Linked DNA regions of Sus scrofa. The protein of the gene in region 2 purifies or fractionates together with the protein of the main gene of each other region. This does not show direct contact. Links are inferred from orthologs where the notes say so. Each region holds a gene or a part of one and is shown on either strand. Other genes may lie near its edges. The genes, in order: PLXNB2, RHOD, DAAM1 and DIAPH2.

Region 1 (4,517 bases), on a different chromosome or scaffold from region 2:
GAGGCCGGGAGACCAGCGCAGCCCCCTCCTTCTGGCCAGGCCTGGGTTCGAGTCCAGGCAGGCTGACCAGTTCATCTCCGCCCCTCACCGGCCCCCAGCCTTACCCACACCCTTGTCCAGGGCAGGCTCTGGGCATGAGGCTCCTCCACAGGGGAGAAAAGCTTATTCCCCCCACCCAGGCCAGGAAGCCACGGCAGGACAGGGGGCCTTGTCGCTGCAGCAAGAAGGACTGAGGCGTGGTGTAAGGACTTCCTGCAGAAGGACTGCAGAGTGGACCTGCCCAGACCAGAAAAGGGACCACGGGAGAGGCGCTGGAAGCCACAGCCTGTCCTGCCAGGGCACCCTCTGCCCACACCCAGAGTGCTCACCAGCTCTGACCCCCAGGCTGTGAGTTCAAGGCTGGGAACAGGACACCATGACGGCTCAAGGGCCTGCAACGAGCTGTCCTGGGGGAGAAGGGCACACGCCATATGGACCCCTCCTCAGGCTGCCAGCCCCCGCCCGTGCCTTCCACCCCAATCTCTTCCGCTCCACTCGCCTGGGCTGGGGCCAGGCCCCTGGGTTTCCTGCACTGGGCCCCAGCTGTCAGCTCTGCCTCCCACCGTGGTCCCTACAGGGCCACCGGCTGCACACATGCGAAGTGGACCCCAGGAGCCCACTCAGCAGAAGCAGCATCCCAGACAGCTCCTTGAAAGGACCCAAGGGACCCATCTCTGGCCTTGAGCTCCTCAGCCATGGGATGGGCTCACAGGTGCCACATCTAAACGTGGGAGGGGTTTGGGGGCACAAGGGCTGGGCTGTCGGAGGGGCTTGGAGAACCGTGGTGCATCAGTCGCCTGCTGGTTTGTGGGTCAGTCAAGAGGCAGGAGGGTGGCCTGAGATGCAGCCAGTGAGAGAGCCCAGTGCCCCACCCACCCTAAGCAGCCATCCCGCCCTGCCCGCTCGTCACCCCAGGGAAGCACCGGTGTGAGTAACCGGCCCAAGGTGTGTCCATGACCTGGGCCCTGGAGGGCAGCCTCAAAGGGCCCTGGGGCCACGGTGCTAAGGCCTCTGGGGTGAAGGGGGCTCCTGGCTGGGCCGCTGCCCTGGGCCCCAGGGAACAGGGTTCAGGACTCCCTCCGCACCCTCGCCCCCCCCCGCCCCCTGGAGGGGCCCGGGCCCGCACCAGGCCCTCCCAGCAGGGCCTGCCTGCGACCTCTGGCGGTTCTCCAGCCCAAGGGTGACGCATCGCCCCCACCCTGCCCCCAACCGGTCTGAGCAGCCGCGGAGGTGGCAGAGCTGCCCAGACTTGCCTGTCCCTCCCTTCGGAGGCTCTCTGCGCGGCCCCGGAAGCGGATCTCTCTCCCAGGGCTGTGGCCTCCCCCCTTGGGTGGCTGGACACGGCTGGATAATCCAAAATAATTCCTTCTTGGCAGGCGGCCGGTGGGGGAGGGGGGGACTTGCATTCCAAACCCTTGTTTTTCTCTAACTTCCCTCCCCTCCGGGGGCAAGGAGCCCCAGCCAGACCTCAAGCCCCCCTTCCTCAGAAGGAGGTGGCCCCCCCATAGGTAAGGGGAGGGAGGAGGTGGGAGGCTGGGACCATCTGCGTGCGCTCAGTCTCCTCCGGGAATTCCTCAAAGCTGACACACCACCAAAAATACCCAAGGGGCCCGGCCAGGCCCACGGTGACCCTCCTAGGGACCCTCACCTCAGAGCACAGCACCCCCCGCAGGTGTCCAACCCTCAGATGCTCCCCTCTGTGCCAGGATACCATCTGGACGCGGGGTCAGGCCGAAAGCCCCCAGCCCCCTGGGCTTGTTCTCCCACCTCCACAGGTCCTGCCCCACCTCTGCCCCAGGGGGGCACTGGGGCTGAACTTAGACCTGGAAGGAGGAGCTCCCCAGGGCAGGTATGGGCCCAGAGAGTCCCCAAGCCCCAGAACATTCCACGAGCTTTGGGGCTGAGCCTCACCCCCAGGCCTGACCCCCACCACAGGCCCCGAGCCCAGCCAGACCCCTTCCTTCTTTTTCCAAGTTGTTGGCAAGAGCCCAGTGACGTGGCAGGAAGCGCTGAGGCTCTTGAGCTCAGGGACTCCCCTCAAAATCTGCCAGACAGCTGAGCGCAGAGGAGTGGGAAGGGTCCGTCTGGGAGGGCTTCCTGCAGGAGGAGGCACACAGAGGTGCAGGGCCCGAGCCTGAGGGGGCAGGGCCCAGGCGGCCGGCAGAGACTTCCTGGGCCCCAGAGTGTCCACCCAAACCGCACCCCAATAAACCTTGGCAACTGGGCGCAGGCTGCGCGGCGAAGCAGGCGGGGACCCCCGGGACCTGCCCAGCGCTGGGCTGCGCCCGGTCCCAGCCCAGAACTGCGCACCCGCCTCGCAGCCTGCCAGGTGCGGACCAGGGGCTCCCAGGGCGGTCCTGGCTGCCGCCCTCCTCACAAGGCCCCGGGGGTGCGGGGCGCTGAGGCCCGACCACTGCCCAGCTTCCCGGGGAGAAAGCCGCGGCTCCGCCTCGGCCGCCGCCGGGGAACCAGAGCTGGGGTGGGGAGGCGGTGCAGGCCTGGAGCTCTGGCACAACGGAGACCATCTCCGCCCCCTGCACCGATCTCCGAGGCCAGAGGAGCGGGGGCGTGAGCAGGGGGGGAGCTCTGGGAGCCCCAAGGGGTCCGAGGGGCTCCAGAGGGACGCGGGCGGCGGGAGGGGCCGCGGCGCCCGGCCGGGGCCCCCTGGCTGCGCCGGGCCCGCTGTCTCGGGCTCCGCAGGCCTCGCCCGCCACCTGGAAGAGCGTGGGGCGGGAGTGGCCCGGCCCCGGACGGCCCGACACACAGACGGCGGCAGAGGCCCGAGTCGCCCTCCGCCGGGCGGCAGCGGCCCGAGTCCCCCTGCGTCCCGAGCGCTCCAGGCCAGGGCGGAGCGGCGCGGCCGGCCACCCGCCCCCCCAGCCGGCCGCCCCGCGGGCCCCGCACCGCATCTCCGTACCTGCACGTCCGCCGCCGAGGCTCGATGGCGCCCGGGCCGCGCTCGGCGCTGTGCTGCGGCCCGCGCGGCTGCCATGGAGACGGGCCTTTGTGTGGCCGAGGAGGGGCCGGAGCGCGCGGGAGCAGCGGCCCCGCCCCCGGCGGGGAGCGGGGGAGGGGAGGGGAGGAGCGGGGGAGGGGAGAGCGGAGGGGGGAGGGCGGAGGGAGAGCAGGGGCCCCACGGGCGGGGCGCCCCCCGCGTCCCTGGTGCCCGCTGGCCACGGTGGGCGCGGCGCGTTCGCGGGCCTGGTTCGGGTCCAAGTTGGCGCCAGGGGAGCCCCGGTCTGGGTACTGGAGGAGAGCGGGGGCCAGACCGAGGTCCCCGAGGCACCCTTGCAGTTCTGTCGGAGAGGGGCCGGCCACCAGCACCCCTTCCCTCACACTGGGGAACAGGCCAGGCGGGCCACGCCCTTGCCCTGTGGGGGGGCTCGGAGCTGCTGGGTCTTGCCTCCCACCCTCCTAGGGGAAGAGGGCACCTGCCCTGTGTCCCCTCAAGTACATCCTTGGCCTCCATCTGCTCTCCTACTCCCTGGGACCCCCCCCCCCAGTGAGCCTTTGGGGACCTGTGCACAGGACCCAGTTACTCTCTCGGGTGCTCGCAGGTGGGTGGTGAGATGAGCCTCTCCCAGGGCTCCAGCTCTGGACTAGAGTTTGCCCCACGTCCGTCCGGCCACTCCAGCCCCTACCCATCCTGGTCCTGATGCCCCCAGCCCCTCAGACTTGAGCAGGGGGGGGGCTCCACTGCCCCCCACCCACAGTCTCCAGCAGAGGACCCAGGAAGGATGTGGGACCCTTCCCCAGCCCTAACCTCTACTTCCATACCGGGACGCCCCCTCCCATCTTTGGGGACCCACTCTCCACCCAGCCCTTCCCCTCCCTGCAGATGCTCCATTTCCTCTATCTCAGCCTCCAACCCAGATGAAGCCACTGGAGATGGTGGGTCACCCGTCATCGGTTCTTCCTGCTACCCTCCCACCCCCACCCAGCCGGCCAAACCTTCACCCCTTCGGCCCTGAAGCAAATCACACCAAGACCCACCCCACGTTCATCACAGGGGACCCTCAAATAACCAAGTTCTGACAGGGATGCCAACTTTTGTCAAAAAAGGAAATTAAAAGACAAGCATTGTGTCACAGGGCATTTTAATACCAAAGATGTGGGAAGGCCACCATCCCAGCCTAAAAGAGAGTCTTTAAATAGAGTGCAGGAAGCTGGGGGGTGAGGACTGTCCTTCCTGTCCCTGCAGCCGCCCACTGGCGCCCTCCACCCCACCCCCACCCCGGGCCCACGCACACCACTACCCTCACACCCCGGCCTCAGACCAGGAGTTGCAGCCCCTCCAGGCCCTGCTGCCCAGGGGCTCTGGTAGGAGATGGCTCCGCCTCTTCTGCCCACCTGCCCCCCCTGCCCTCCTCACTCTCTGACCCCAGCCCCGTGGGGGGACAGAGGCTCAGCCAAGCCAGAGCCGCCCTGATCCTGGCAGGGAAGGCAGGAGTCTCTGGGGAGATGGAGTTGGCAGGACT
Region 2 (4,588 bases):
GTTTCTTTGAGCTTCAGTGAAAACACTCCGGGATCTGGGGAGGCCCTTGGGCCTGTTTCAAAATACTTTATTTTTTCGCTTTTCAGGGCCGCGCCCACAGCACATGGAGGGTCCCAGGCTAGGGGTCGAATCGGAGCCTACACCACAGCCACAGCAACGCCAGATCCAAGCTGCATCTGCAACCTACACCTCAGGTCATGGCAATGCCGGATCCTTAACCCACTGATCGAGGCCGGGGATCCAACCCGCAACCTCATGGTTCCTAGTTGGATCATTTCTGCTGCTCCACGACGGGAACTCCTAAAATAGATATTTCAATCCAGGCTGCTAACAGGGGTAGGAGGTCAGGTGGTAGTAAGTCCCCAGGGCAGTTCTGCATTTATTCCTGGCATCTAGATGGTTCCACCATCAAGGCCCTGTTTAACCCTCAGCCTCACCCTAACCCAACCTCAGCCATCATGGCAGGAAAGATCTGCGCCCTGCCCCTCTGCACAGCCCCCTCATGGCCCCATACCTTGCACATGTTTCTCCCTCCATTTGGAACCCTCTTCCCTTCCCCCATCTCACCACGTCTCACATTTTCCTCAAGACTCTGGGCCCTCTTCTCAGAAGGGTTTCCTGACCACCTTCAGCCCTGGCGAGGAGCCCGGCTTCCCGACTCCCGTCTGCTGCCTGTCCCCACCACCACCACCGGGGCCCTTACCACACGGGCATCCAGCCTGTCTCCCATTCTAGGCCGTGGGAGAGACCCCGGTGGGAGACTTGGACTTCAATGGTTCAGGGTCCCCAGGTCCTGGGCACAGAGCCACCAGTGTTGGTTAAGTCCTAAGAATCACTCACACATGGCATCGCCAGCTGTGAGCCAGACCTGCTCTAAGCCCTGCACACATGGAAGGTTCCATGGCTTTCCCCAGATCATGCCCCGGCAGAGGTGAGACCCACCTGTAGTGAGACTTCCTGGTGTGGCTGGGGGCGGGTGGCAGTGCCAGTGACTAACCCATACTGGTGTGCCCTCCCCGCATGCCCTGGAACACCACGGGGACTGTGCTGTGCTCTGTCTCCAGAGCTGCGGAGCAGATGCACCTTCATTCATTCAGTCAGTCAATCAAAAATCACTAGCTCCGCTGGCTGCTCCACCTAGACTGGGCCGTAGGGCCCCAGCGCGGCCTGCGGAGCTAGTAGACCAGCAGGGCTGATCCGCGCTTCCCTGCTCCCCGGGAAGTGGGCCCAGAGCCCCCTCTTCCCCTTCCACAGCATCGCTGCCCGGCTACTTTCCTCCCATCAGATGGGCGTGCGCCGGGTCCCCCGCCGTGGCCTCCGCGCTGGCACACAGCAGGGGCGGTAGGGGCTCTGGGGCTCTGGGGCTGCCCGGGGCCTGGGACCCGAGGGGCCGGGCCTCTCACCTGGGCCGCCCGCCGCCGCCCGCACTTCCTCCCGCCGCCCCGCCCCTTCCACATTCCTGCCCCGCCGGCCCCAGCTCGCCGCTCTCGGCGCCGGCCCTCCGCTGCCCCGCGATGAAGGCGGCCCGGGCCGAGCGCGAGGAGGTCAAGGTGGTCCTGGTGGGCGACGGCGGCTGCGGGAAGACGTCGCTGCTGATGGTCTTCGCCGAAGGCGCCTTCCCCGAGGTGAGCGGCAGCCCCTCGGGGCGCAGCGGGGCGCGCGGCCTGGGCGCATCCTTCCCCCCCACCCCACCCCCCGACGGGCTCGGGTCCTGCCTCCCAGCGGAGCGTGGGCTCCAAGGCCATTCTTGCTCTGCCATCGGGAGTGAAGGCCTCCGTGAGATCGTCTGTCAAGTGCCAAGAACGGCACTGCCAGGGGGGGTGTCCCAGGGACGGACCTAGGCCACCTGGGGACTCAGGGAGCCCTTGGTGGCCCAGCACGGCTAAGAGGGACGGCCGGCTCTGGAGCCAGGCCGCCTGGCTTCAGATCATGACTCTGCCACTTAAAGCTGTGTGACCTGCGGCCCGCCCCTTACCCTCTCTGTGCCTGTTTCCTTAAACCGTGCCACAGGAGTAATGATGGCGCCCACCTCCCAGGGTCGCTGTGCGGAATGGGTTCTTATAGGTCAGAGGCCAGCTCTGAGCTGCAACAGAAAGGACTCACTGAGAGGCAGCACAAGTTTTTCTGGAGAAACATCACTTCTCCCAACTCCTGCCCCGGCCGTGGGTGTCCCTTGGGCTCAGCCTTGGAGGGGAAGAGCACATGGGCTCGCCAGGCAGCTGGGTTGGCACCTCAGCCTCTCTAACAAACCCCGGGGGCCTCGGTACCTCGCTCAGCCTCTGGAGCCTCCCTTTCCTCACTCGACCTCGGGGGGAGGAGCGACCAGAGGGTGGGGGTGAGGTGGAATGAAGGTAAGGCTGAGAGAGCCCCTGGGTACCTGGCACATCCTTGATGCCTGGGCTCTGGATTGTCCTGGGCTGTGGACTGTCAGCCCTTCTCCAGCATGTTCATTGGCTCTCCAGGCAGACTGGCCGGCACCAGGACAGGGGCTGGACCACCCACCACCCACACTGCCTGCCCCCACCCCCTCAGCCCAGTTCTCCTGGGAGTCCCTGGATCTGCTTCCCGTATGACCTCTTCCCCCCCGCTGCCCCCATCCTGGCTCAGCATCCTTCGAACCCCTGGGGTGGTGCAGCGCTGGGGAATTGGATGGAGGAGGCAGGAGAGGCCAGGCCTGGTAACGGTGTCAGCCTTTCTTTCCACTGTGGCAGCATCAAGCCGACTCTTGCTTTGTGGTTTTGGGAGCTGACGTCACGTCCTTTGGCCGGTCACAGATTTTTTTTTTTTAGTTGGGGGAGGGCTGTGTTTCCAGGCCCCCAGATGGTCCCTGTGAGAACCAGCAATTACGGCTTAGTGTGGGGAGCGCCACAGAGAGGCTGGGCCAGCTGGGGCCCAGAAGAGGGGCTGGGAGAGCGGTGCGTCACCACCACTGTTCTGGACTCTCACAGTCAATGGAAAGTATGTGTGTGTGTGTGTGTGTGTGTGTGTGTGTGTGTGTGTGTGTTGAAGGACACTCTGGGCAGCCAGGGGAAAGTAAGGCATGCTTATCACCAGGGTGAACTTGGCCTTGTCTCGGCTCCTCCCCTGTTAGGGAACCCTGACTCCCTAGGACCTGTCTACCTCCAAGCACAAGAGAGACTTTTTTTTGTCTTTTTTTTAGGGCCTCACCTGTGGCATATGGGAGTTCCCAGGTTAGGGGGCAAATCGGATCTGCAGCTTCTTGCCCACGCCGCAGCCATAGCAATTCAGGATTCGAGCCACATCTGCAACCCACACCACCGCTTGTGGCAATGTTGGATCCTTAACCCACTGAGCGAGGCCAGGGATCAAACCCACATCCTCATGAATACTAGTCAGGAGCTTAACTCACTGAGCCACACGGGAAACTCTGAGAGACCTCTTCACTTAAAAGAAACACAAAGGCATGGAGTTCCCATCGTGGTGCAGCAAAAAGGAATCCGACTAGGAACCATGAGGTTGCAGGTTCGATCCCTGGCCTCGCTCAGTGGGCTAAGGCTACAGCATTGCCATGAGCTGTGGTATAGGTTGCAGACACAGCTCAGATCTAGCGTGGCTGTGGCTGTGGCGTAGGCTGGCAGCTGTAGCTCCCATTAGATCCCTAGCCTGGGAACCTCCATATGCTGCAGGCGCGGCCCTAAAAAGCAAAATAAATAAATAAATAAATAAAGTGGTCTAACTCTAAGCGTTTAAAAAAACAAACAAACAAAAAAACCCACAAGGGCATGGAGTTCCCGTCGTGGCGCAGTGGAAATGAATCCGACTAGGAATCATGAGGTTGCAGGTCTGATTCCTGGCCTTGCTCAGTGGGTTAAGCATCTAGCATTGCTGTGGCTGTGGTGTAGGCCGGCAGCTATAGCTCTGATTTGACCCCTAGCCTGGGAATCTCCATATGCCTCAAGTGCGGCCCTAAAAAGCAAAAAAAAAAAAAAAAAAGAAGAAGAAGAAGAAAGAAACACAAGAGCAGAGGTCCTGCTGTGGCTTAGCGGGTTATGAACACAGCGTCGTCTCTGTGAGGATGTGGGTTTGAGCCTTGGCCTCTCCCAGTGGATTAAGGATCCGCCATGGCTGCAAACTGCAGTGTAGGTCACAGAGACAGCTCAGATCTGGTGTTGCCGTGGCTGTGGTATAGCCTGCAGCTGCAGCTCTGATTCGACCCCTGGCCCAAGAACTTCCTTATGCCACAGGCATAGCTAGCGAAAGGAAAGAAAAAAACACAAGGGCTGAGAGCTGGAACAACCTTCATCTTCAGGAAAACTGAGGCCAGAGAAGAGAGAGAGAGAGGAGTCTGGCCTCAGGCCACAGGGCCTGGCAGGGGCAGTGCTGGCCTGGAACCCACGTCTTCCCGCCCATGACCAGGACACTCTCTGCAGCCCCCAGTGTCTGCCTGCGGGACCAGCCTTCAGCCCCCGCCCCTGGTCTCCTCCTCCTGAGAGCCCTCCAGACCCAGGGAGCCAGCATCTGGGAGACTTGGGGTCCTGTATCCCAGGCCTCTTGCCTGTAGCAAAGGGCAGAGAGCAGGCTGGGACTGGCCGGGGAGGGGGCTCATTGAGCCTCGTCTGGCTGTGGC
Region 3 (3,928 bases), on a different chromosome or scaffold from region 2:
CTCTCAAGGTCGGGCTCACGTCCTGGCTCATTCTGAGAGTATTAATGTAATTGCTCAGAGTCTGAGTACAGAGAACATTAAAACGAAGGTAGCCGTGCTGGAAATCTTGGGCGCTGTGTGCCTGGTTCCCGGGGGCCACAAGAAGGTTCTGCAGGCCATGCTGCACTACCAGAAGTATGCCAGCGAAAGAACCCGTTTTCAGGTGGGTGCTTCCTTCTTCATTCAGGCCTCCCGACAGTGCCTTTTCCTGCCCTGAAGGGGAAACAGAACTTGAGATTTCCCCCTGTGGTGATCATTCACGTCGTGACTTCAAGCATTTCCTTCCTCTTAGGCAGAGAGTAGAATATTCTTCCTGTAGTTAATCAGTCCAGGGTTGTGGATTTACAGTAGTCCCCTCTTACCTGCAGATCTGCTTTCCACAATGCCATTTACCCACAGTCAACTGTGGTGTAAAAATATTAAACAGAAAATTCCAGAAATTTTAAACTGTGCAGCTGGTCTGAATAACATGATGAAATCTCAGGCCATCCTGCTCAGTCCCTCCCAGGATGTGAATCATCCTTTTGTCTAGTGTAGCCACACTGTACACAGCATTCAGCGGTTCATATAGGGAAAACATAGTCTCTGTAGAAGTGTATATAGGGTTCAGTACTATCCATGGTTTCAGGCGTCCACTGGGGATCCTGGGACATACCCCCTGAGGATGAGGGGAGATCACTGTTCTGAATTTAAAAACATAGCCCTGCTTCCTACGCATTATATTATACGCTTTTTGATCCACTAAATGGGCGATCCCTAAAAATTTTATGACTTGCCATTCTTGATTTAGGATCTATATAAACAGTGACAGTATGTCACCATATTTCTACTCAAATATAAAAAGCAAGCAGAATTAACCAAGCACAGTCATTTGTACTTTGTTTAATTGTATATTTGAACATAGATGATGTAAGAATTTTGAAAGCAAAGTTTTTAGGACTAATCTTAAGGGGAAAAGCTAGCTTTCTATGGATCAGTGATTAAACATGAGTTTTTAAAAATTAAGTTCTGAATAAAATGAGTGTAAGGTAAGCAATTATATTCAGCCCTTTGTTTTCACGCTTGCATCCTTGGTAGACGTTAATTAATGACCTGGATAAAAGCACGGGGCGGTATCGAGATGAAGTGAGCCTCAAGACTGCCATCATGTCCTTCATCAATGCAGTGCTAAGCCAAGGCGCAGGAGTGGTAAGAGCCTCCTGTACCTCAATTTAAAATATACATTATTAAAGAATAATTTTAAAAGATTACAGATTATCTAGTCTAAAGAGCCTATATATGTACTCATCACCCTTTTACTTTCAGGAAAGTTTGGACTTTAGACTTCATCTTCGCTATGAATTTCTGATGTTGGGAATTCAACCTGTAATAGATAAATTAAGGGAACATGAAAATTCAACATTAGATAGGTAAGTCAGACTGTTCATGCTTTTGCTGTGTGTATAGAGTCCGTCTGTGAACTACTTGTGACCTAAGGAACTTGAACCAAAATGTTGCCGGCTAATAGATGTTTTTATAGTAAGGCTTCTCTCAATGGAAGAAGCAGCACATTGCTTAGGGAACTTGTGTAGTTTTGACTTTAGACTTGAATCCATATCCTTGTCCTGCCACTTCCTTGCTGTGTATTTTGGTCAAGTTACTCAATTTTTCTGAACTTTACTGGTTTTATTCCTGAAGAAATAATGATGCTGCTGTTTGTTGCTCTCTTTCAGAGCTGTTAAGAAAGTTGACTGTAAACCATGTGGAATCACTGGGCACCTTTGATAGACAATCTCTGAATGTTAATTTCCACTTTCCTGTTCATTTGCTCTTGTCTGCAGTCATTTTACAATTTCTAACATATCCTCCCAGCTCTCAGATCTTGCCTTTTACTACTCTTCCCCCTCATGCACACACTCCACCATGCTCTTCTCCTTGATATTCCATGAACATGTCAAAATACCCTTGCCCCAAGGCCTTTGCACCTATTTCTTCAGCATTAAAAGATCTTCCCAAAGATGTCCAGATGACTTGTTCCCTACAGAGACACCTTTTCCAACCTTGGTGTTCACCTTCCTCACCTCACCTCCCATCATCTCTATTCCCTCTACCCTGATGTATTTATCTTCACAGAACTCATCATCCCTGGTGTCAATATTCAATAAATATTTGAATGAATAAGTGAATGGCATGAACATTTGTTTTGTAATCTTTAGTTGAGTGGTCAGTCAAGTTAGTTATATCGGGTTTTCATTCTATAGATTCTGGGAGTAGAACCTGGATTTGATTATTTTGGGATTTGATAAACCTTTATGCCTTGGCCTCTATGTGCTAGGCATCCTAGGCTTTTTGTCTCTTGTAGTGATCTCATTTCATTTAGATGATAGAACATGGTTAAGGGAAGGCATTCAGATTTTGTTGTCTTATTTCTTTTAGAAGTATCTGAAAATTTAGGAAAGGCCATAGTATTAATGTCCTGATTCCCATGTGCCTGTGTTTGTAGGATGTTCTACTTTTAATAGCTTTTCTTTAACTGACTTTCAGGCATTTAGATTTTTTTGAAATGCTCCGAAATGAAGATGAACTAGAATTTGCCAAAAGATTTGAACTGGTATGTATGCTTACAATTATTTTGATTTGACTCAGCAGTTCATAGATTTCCCTGTTGTAATGTGTGTCATAGCGTTGACATATAACCAGAGCAAAATCAAATTTCTGTTTTGCTAAGTGGCTAGATTGCCTTGGATTTGTTTACCTTACCTTGTAGAAATTGATGAACTTGGATGTTGGACTTGGATTTCTTTTTCATATGAAACAGGTTCACATAGACACAAAAAGTGCTACTCAGATGTTTGAGCTGACCAGGAAGAGGCTGACCCACAGTGAAGCTTACCCTCACTTCATGTCCATCCTGCACCACTGCCTCCAAATGCCTTGTGAGTGTATATGTGACTTACCTGAGTGTCTGTGAACATTTAGACATCAGCCAAAGGCCTCTGTCTTCTGAAGAGTGTGGACTAGGTTGGGTGCACACCAGGCATTCCCGACCTTGGTTTTGTGACAGCCCAGTGTGTCTCCACACAGCTTAAGGGGTGTTGTGAAGTTCTCAAAATGACATGAATTATAACTCACTTTGATTTTAAAAATAAATATATGCCTTACAGTACATTTAGAAAGGGGTAGAAAATGCCCCTCAATCATATAAATGATCATTGCCTGTCAGAATTTCAGAAATTTTGGGAAGGGGTGGTGCAGATGTTGCAAACATCTCTCTGGTTCTGTGGCTCTGGTGGATGACCACTGTTGAAAAATGCTCATCCAAGTTTAGAAACCACTTGAAGTATTTCCACCATTCTTTTCTTTTTTTTTTAGACAAGAGAAGTGGCAACACCGTTCAGTACTGGCTACTGCTGGATAGAATTATACAGCAAATAGTTATTCAGAACGACAAAGGTCAAGACCCTGACTCCACGCCTTTGGAAAACTTTAATATTAAGAATGTCGTCCGGATGTAAGTTTCTTCTTATTTGGCAGCCCTTGAGATAATAGTGACAATGTAGGACATTTATTTCAAAATAGCAAGTGGGAGAACTGAAATGTTCTAGAGGTCACCCTTGAGTTCCTATACGTATGCATGTCATATATCTACATAACATCTGGGTTCAAAATGGGTTTCAAGCATGCTGAGGATTTTCTCTGCAGTAAACAATTTTTGTACCCAGAAAGCATGCATTTAGCAGTGGGTCTTTGTGCTTTTTGTAATGAATGCTCCTTTAACTATTATACAGGTTGGTTAATGAAAATGAAGTGAAGCAGTGGAAAGAACAAGCGGAAAAAATGAGAAAAGGTAAATGATGAGGTCCTGATGAGAAGAAGCCATGTTATTGGTTATTGGACAACTCTCCTTACT
Region 4 (4,369 bases), on a different chromosome or scaffold from region 2:
AATGTTGATGACAAAGGCCAAGCCAGGATTTAGACTGCTTTCAGATAGCTAACATTCTTTTTATTCTACTTTCCAAGTTAATTGCCTCCTCACCCCTTTAGCCTGGTCAAATTCATCCTAATGCACTCTCAATAAATGTGTTCATAAACAAATTAGTTTCAGCACAGACAAATTTAGGCTGAAGGGGAGAATGGTAAAAGGGTCACGGTCTGAAGATATCTGAATAACAGGCACATGGGCATGTTCATAGATTTGGGACCTAAATTGACTTTTCAGGTAGCTTCTCCAGATTGTACCATGATGGTTCATTCAGGTCTTGCCTGGCCCTGCTAATGTTCTCAATGTGAGCATTATTTTTAAAGAGGTGTGGGCCTCTTCCTGACAACTCTGGTACTAGAGACTAAGAATACCCACAGTGTTTGGTGGTTGCTGTTGCTGCACAAAAACACCTAGCATTTGTCTAGATTTACATTTTCAACAAATGATCTTTGACACACACGATCTTACTCCGCGAAACAACTTTAAACCTGAAGTGTTTCGGAAAACTTAAAAAATAGTACTCAATCCAATTGTTAGCTCTCCATAGGTGCTTTGGCTAGAGAGCCTTACATCCCCTAGGGATTAAGCAGTGGGCGTCAGCTGCCTCTACCCAGCAGCCTGGGAATAAAGGAACGACTGTATTTCTTTGGTCGCAACGCAATCATGGCAACAGAAAGCACCCACTCTTTCCACTTTGACCCGTGCAGTCTGTCTAGGCAATTAATCAGCGCTCCCTGTGGCGGTTTTCCTACGGGACGCGGGTTGCCTTGCCAATCAACCCCTCCCACAGAATGGAGCGCAACCAAACCACCTGGCAAGGCCTCGGTCAGCCAGGGAAGGTGCTCAGGCCTACACGAGTGGAAGCGGACACTAAGAGAGACGGCCCCGTGAAATCCACACGGGAATCCTCTCGGGCCTCAGTGTCCCCATCTCTGAAATGGGCTACACCTTCTCCCTCTCGGCTAGTTCCCTCCCATTTCACATTAGGCCCCTAGGAAGGGAAATCAGTGCTTAACCGCAGCTTAAACTCCCCTCGTTTGGCTGCCTTCGCTGCGCCGGGCATGCTCAGTAGCCCGACCCGCTCGGCAGCGGGAGTAGGAAGTAGCTTTCCGCGTCCGGGCGGCGGACTGCGGGCACTTTGATGAATCACGTGTGTGGAGGCCCTCTTAAAGAGATAGGCACCTACTTTCCCTCCACCCTAAACACCGCCCTGAGGGCGGCGGCGGCGGCGGCGACCGGGATAATAGCAGCCGCTCAGGGGCAGGGCTTGCCCCAGCGCAGAATAGTGGCAACGGCGTGTCGCGTCGGGGGTGCCTGGGAGCCGGGGGCCTCAGGGACGTGAGATCGGCAGCTCCCCAGACAGACCCACTCTCCCTCCCGGAAAGAGGTGCTGCCGAATCTGCGCGGGGCAGCTGGACCGCCCCGAGGGGCTTCCTCAGTGGAGGAGAGGTGGGGTTCCAGGGCACAGGTGACAGGGCCGGAGAAAGATGGAGCAGCTCGGGGCGGCGGCGGCGGCGGGCGCGGGAGGCGGCGGCGAGGAACCCAGTGGGGGCCGAAGCAACAAGCGGAGCGCGGGGAACCGGGCCGCCAACGAAGAGGAAACGAAAAACAAACCAAAATTGGTGAGTGCTCCCGCAGCCCCCGCCGTTCTTGGGGACAGCGAGAGCCCCGGGATCCTCCTGCCGTTGAACACAGGGGGACCCGGGGCCCCCTCCCAAGGGTGACCGCGACCTCGCTGTGCAACTCGGGGAGCCGCGAAAGCAGCGGCCACGCCGAGGCGCGGAGACGGCGTGGGGGCGGAAGAGCACCCCCTTTCCACTTAATCCCTTTCTCCCTCTTGGCAGCCCGAGAGGCAGTGCGGGAAGGAGGAAGGCCCCACCCCAACTTGGGGAGACCCCGTGTACTGGGTAGGGGCTGTTGTTTGTCTAACTTGCGGCCACCAACCTTTTTTGCGAGATTCCACTCCCCTTCCACCCTTGTCAGTTGCTGGGCTTTACCTCTTAACGGTTAGGGTCCGGGCAGGGAAACCTCTCTTAGTCTCAGTACTTGGAAGCCCACCCACAGACTTACAAACAAACAAACAAACAAACAAAAAAACACCCCAGACCAATCAACTAACCAATCCCTCCAAACAATAACAACAAAACCACACAACGTAGGCCCCCAGTCTTTTACTGGACCAGAAATCTAAGAAAGAGCCGCCTACGTGACTTTTTTTTTTACCCCTCCCTTGCCTCTCCATGTGCTCTCCCAAGAAACATTTCTTTGGAAGAGTGGGGGGAGTGTGGGCGTTGGAGGCTGCTGAGGTGCCAACAGCTGTCGTGTGTGTAATAGGCAGAGTCTAAGTACTTGTACTTAGTTGATTGAGAACGCTCCAAAAGCGGCAGGCAGACTGAACAAATCTCCCTGTCCTGAGAGTGTGTGAACCAGTGGGAGCAGTCCATTTCCTGCCACTGACTTCATGTGCAGAGGAATGAAATCTATGGGGCCTGGTATTAGATTGGGAAATACTGGAGTTTTTTTCAGCTCATCAGTAAAAACGGTTCCTCTTTTTTTTTTTTTTTCTTCAGTTTATAGGAAAACAGTTTAATAATAGTGAAACCTAAAAACTGGTGAAATTAATAAAGCATATTAGCTAAAGACTGTTTCTGCCAACCCTTAGCCGATAGAGGCAGACATTTATCAATAAACTTTCTAATTCGGGTAGCATGAAGGCAGATGGTTTTCCTGAACAATTTCAGCTAATACAACTTCAATGTGAAGTTTCTTAGTTGAGGTCTGAAGCACAAGCCACGTGTTGCATATCTAGTTTTCAGTTTTAACCTGCAGCTTGATTCTAAGAAGGAAGGAGGCAGTGACATATAACTAAAGCCCTTATGGCATCTGGCCATTTGGTATGTACCTGTTGTTCTCATGCCTCCTATTTGCCTTTCAATTATGGATTGTCCATATTGGAAAACAGTGATCGAAGTGTTATGGTTATAGGAAATACGAAGTCTTCTGTTATGTGGAGAGGGACCCGGCGGGTAGAATAAAATAACCAGGTCTAACGTCTCATCAAGTCCACCCTAACTTGAGGCAAATTGAGAATTACTTGATGTAATTCTCACTCCCTCCACCCCCCACCCCCAGGTATTTACAAGTGAAGAAATTGAGTCACAAGTTCTTTGTGAATTGTCTTTGCTGGCAGAGGGTTAATGGTGCTCCTATTGTAAAGACTTCGAAGTTTTGTGGGTGTCGCCAGAATTTAATGTGTTTAAAAATTGTGATGTTGTGATTTTGAAATTTATCAATTTGTGGTAGAAAAGTGACCGCGTTTCCTTTTTATTTTCTTTTGGACTCAGTACAAAACTGTGGTTTAAACGGTGAGGAAAAGTTTTAGTGAAAAATTAAAGTGAGCTGATAGTTTCCACAGTTTGATACTTTCAGCAAGAACTTTCCACTTTTAGGATCTATGCGCTTAAGGAAAAAGCACTCATCTCAGGAATAACACCTTGGTTATATTCTTCCCTTCCATTTGGCCATTTGTCCTGTTTCATCTTTTATGCTTTGACAAGGTAACTAGATAGTTATGAGATGGTATCACTTTCAGTGCCTAGCTTGGTATAGCAGAACAAGAGTTTGAATCCAAGAGTTTAATATCAATAGGGACTTTTTTGCTCAAAATAACTTTTAAGCCATACGTTATTTTACAAGCAAGTATGTCAGAGTTAACGAAAACAAATTTAGGAAGACATTTCAGCACATTTTTAAGGAAGGAACGTTGTCTAAATAACAAGACTTGGTAAACTTTTTAAATAAATGCCTTACTCCTTTTGAGTTGTCTTATTGAAGTGGTCTACATGGTCTTCTAAGGCCTTTTAGAGAGGAGTTCATCTGGGCTTCGTAAAATATTGCTAGTAAAATACATATTTACCTAGACAACATTTAATTTTCTGTGTTAATGTTGTTAATCACTGTAGCAGTCCTTAATTATGTTTGTGTAAAGGAGTTGCAGTGGGGGATCATAAAAGAGAGCCATATGGTAGTAGAAATAATTTGTGTAGGTGATTATGGGGGTAAGGGTAAGAGTTCTTAAACTGAAACTGAAAAATTTGAGTGTATATGTAGGTACATTCATTTTTCTGGGCCCCATAGTTTTTATCAGTTTCTCAAAGGAATCTGTCTCCTATAGAAGAATAAGAACTATTGAGTTACCAGAGAGAGAAAAGGAAATGCCAGTTGATTACACTTAAAACTGGGAAGAAGGGGAGGTCACCGACAAGAGAGAAGGGAAATATCGTGGATCACACAGGTGGTTGATGTTGAAGATAGTTCATCTGGGAGTAAA

The links.
Region 1: the proteins of RHOD (region 2) and PLXNB2 purify together in Homo sapiens (affinity purification with mass spectrometry; 3 studies listed by BioGRID and IntAct, counting the BioPlex papers as one, with this or other methods). This does not show direct contact. The link is inferred for Sus scrofa from reciprocal best matches to the Homo sapiens genes RHOD and PLXNB2.
Region 3: the proteins of RHOD (region 2) and DAAM1 purify together in Homo sapiens (affinity purification with mass spectrometry; 3 studies listed by BioGRID and IntAct, counting the BioPlex papers as one, with this or other methods). This does not show direct contact. The link is inferred for Sus scrofa from reciprocal best matches to the Homo sapiens genes RHOD and DAAM1.
Region 4: the proteins of RHOD (region 2) and DIAPH2 purify together in Homo sapiens (co-immunoprecipitation; 3 studies listed by BioGRID and IntAct, with this or other methods). This does not show direct contact. The link is inferred for Sus scrofa from reciprocal best matches to the Homo sapiens genes RHOD and DIAPH2.

Annotation. Positions count from the first base shown.
Region 1 is NC_010447.5:388,937-393,453, reverse strand, and holds the start of PLXNB2 (plexin-B2), read right to left. Parts: upstream 3,108-4,517; 5' UTR 2,957-3,107; intron 1-2,956.
Region 2 is NC_010444.4:5,401,067-5,405,654, reverse strand, and holds the start of RHOD (rho-related GTP-binding protein RhoD), read left to right. Parts: upstream 1-1,440; 5' UTR 1,441-1,514; coding exon 1,515-1,625; intron 1,626-4,588. UniProt on the Homo sapiens protein: Involved in endosome dynamics. May coordinate membrane transport with the function of the cytoskeleton. Involved in the internalization and trafficking of activated tyrosine kinase receptors such as PDGFRB.
Region 3 is NC_010443.5:188,464,189-188,468,116, forward strand, and holds part of DAAM1 (disheveled-associated activator of morphogenesis 1), read left to right. Parts: coding exon 1-202; intron 203-1,116; coding exon 1,117-1,227; intron 1,228-1,344; coding exon 1,345-1,448; intron 1,449-2,562; coding exon 2,563-2,629; intron 2,630-2,836; coding exon 2,837-2,954; intron 2,955-3,390; coding exon 3,391-3,529; intron 3,530-3,806; coding exon 3,807-3,865; intron 3,866-3,928. UniProt on the Homo sapiens protein: Binds to disheveled (Dvl) and Rho, and mediates Wnt-induced Dvl-Rho complex formation. May play a role as a scaffolding protein to recruit Rho-GDP and Rho-GEF, thereby enhancing Rho-GTP formation. Can direct nucleation and elongation of new actin filaments.
Region 4 is NC_010461.5:78,601,219-78,605,587, forward strand, and holds the start of DIAPH2 (protein diaphanous homolog 2), read left to right. Parts: upstream 1-1,166; 5' UTR 1,167-1,526; coding exon 1,527-1,661; intron 1,662-4,369. UniProt on the Homo sapiens protein: Could be involved in oogenesis. Involved in the regulation of endosome dynamics.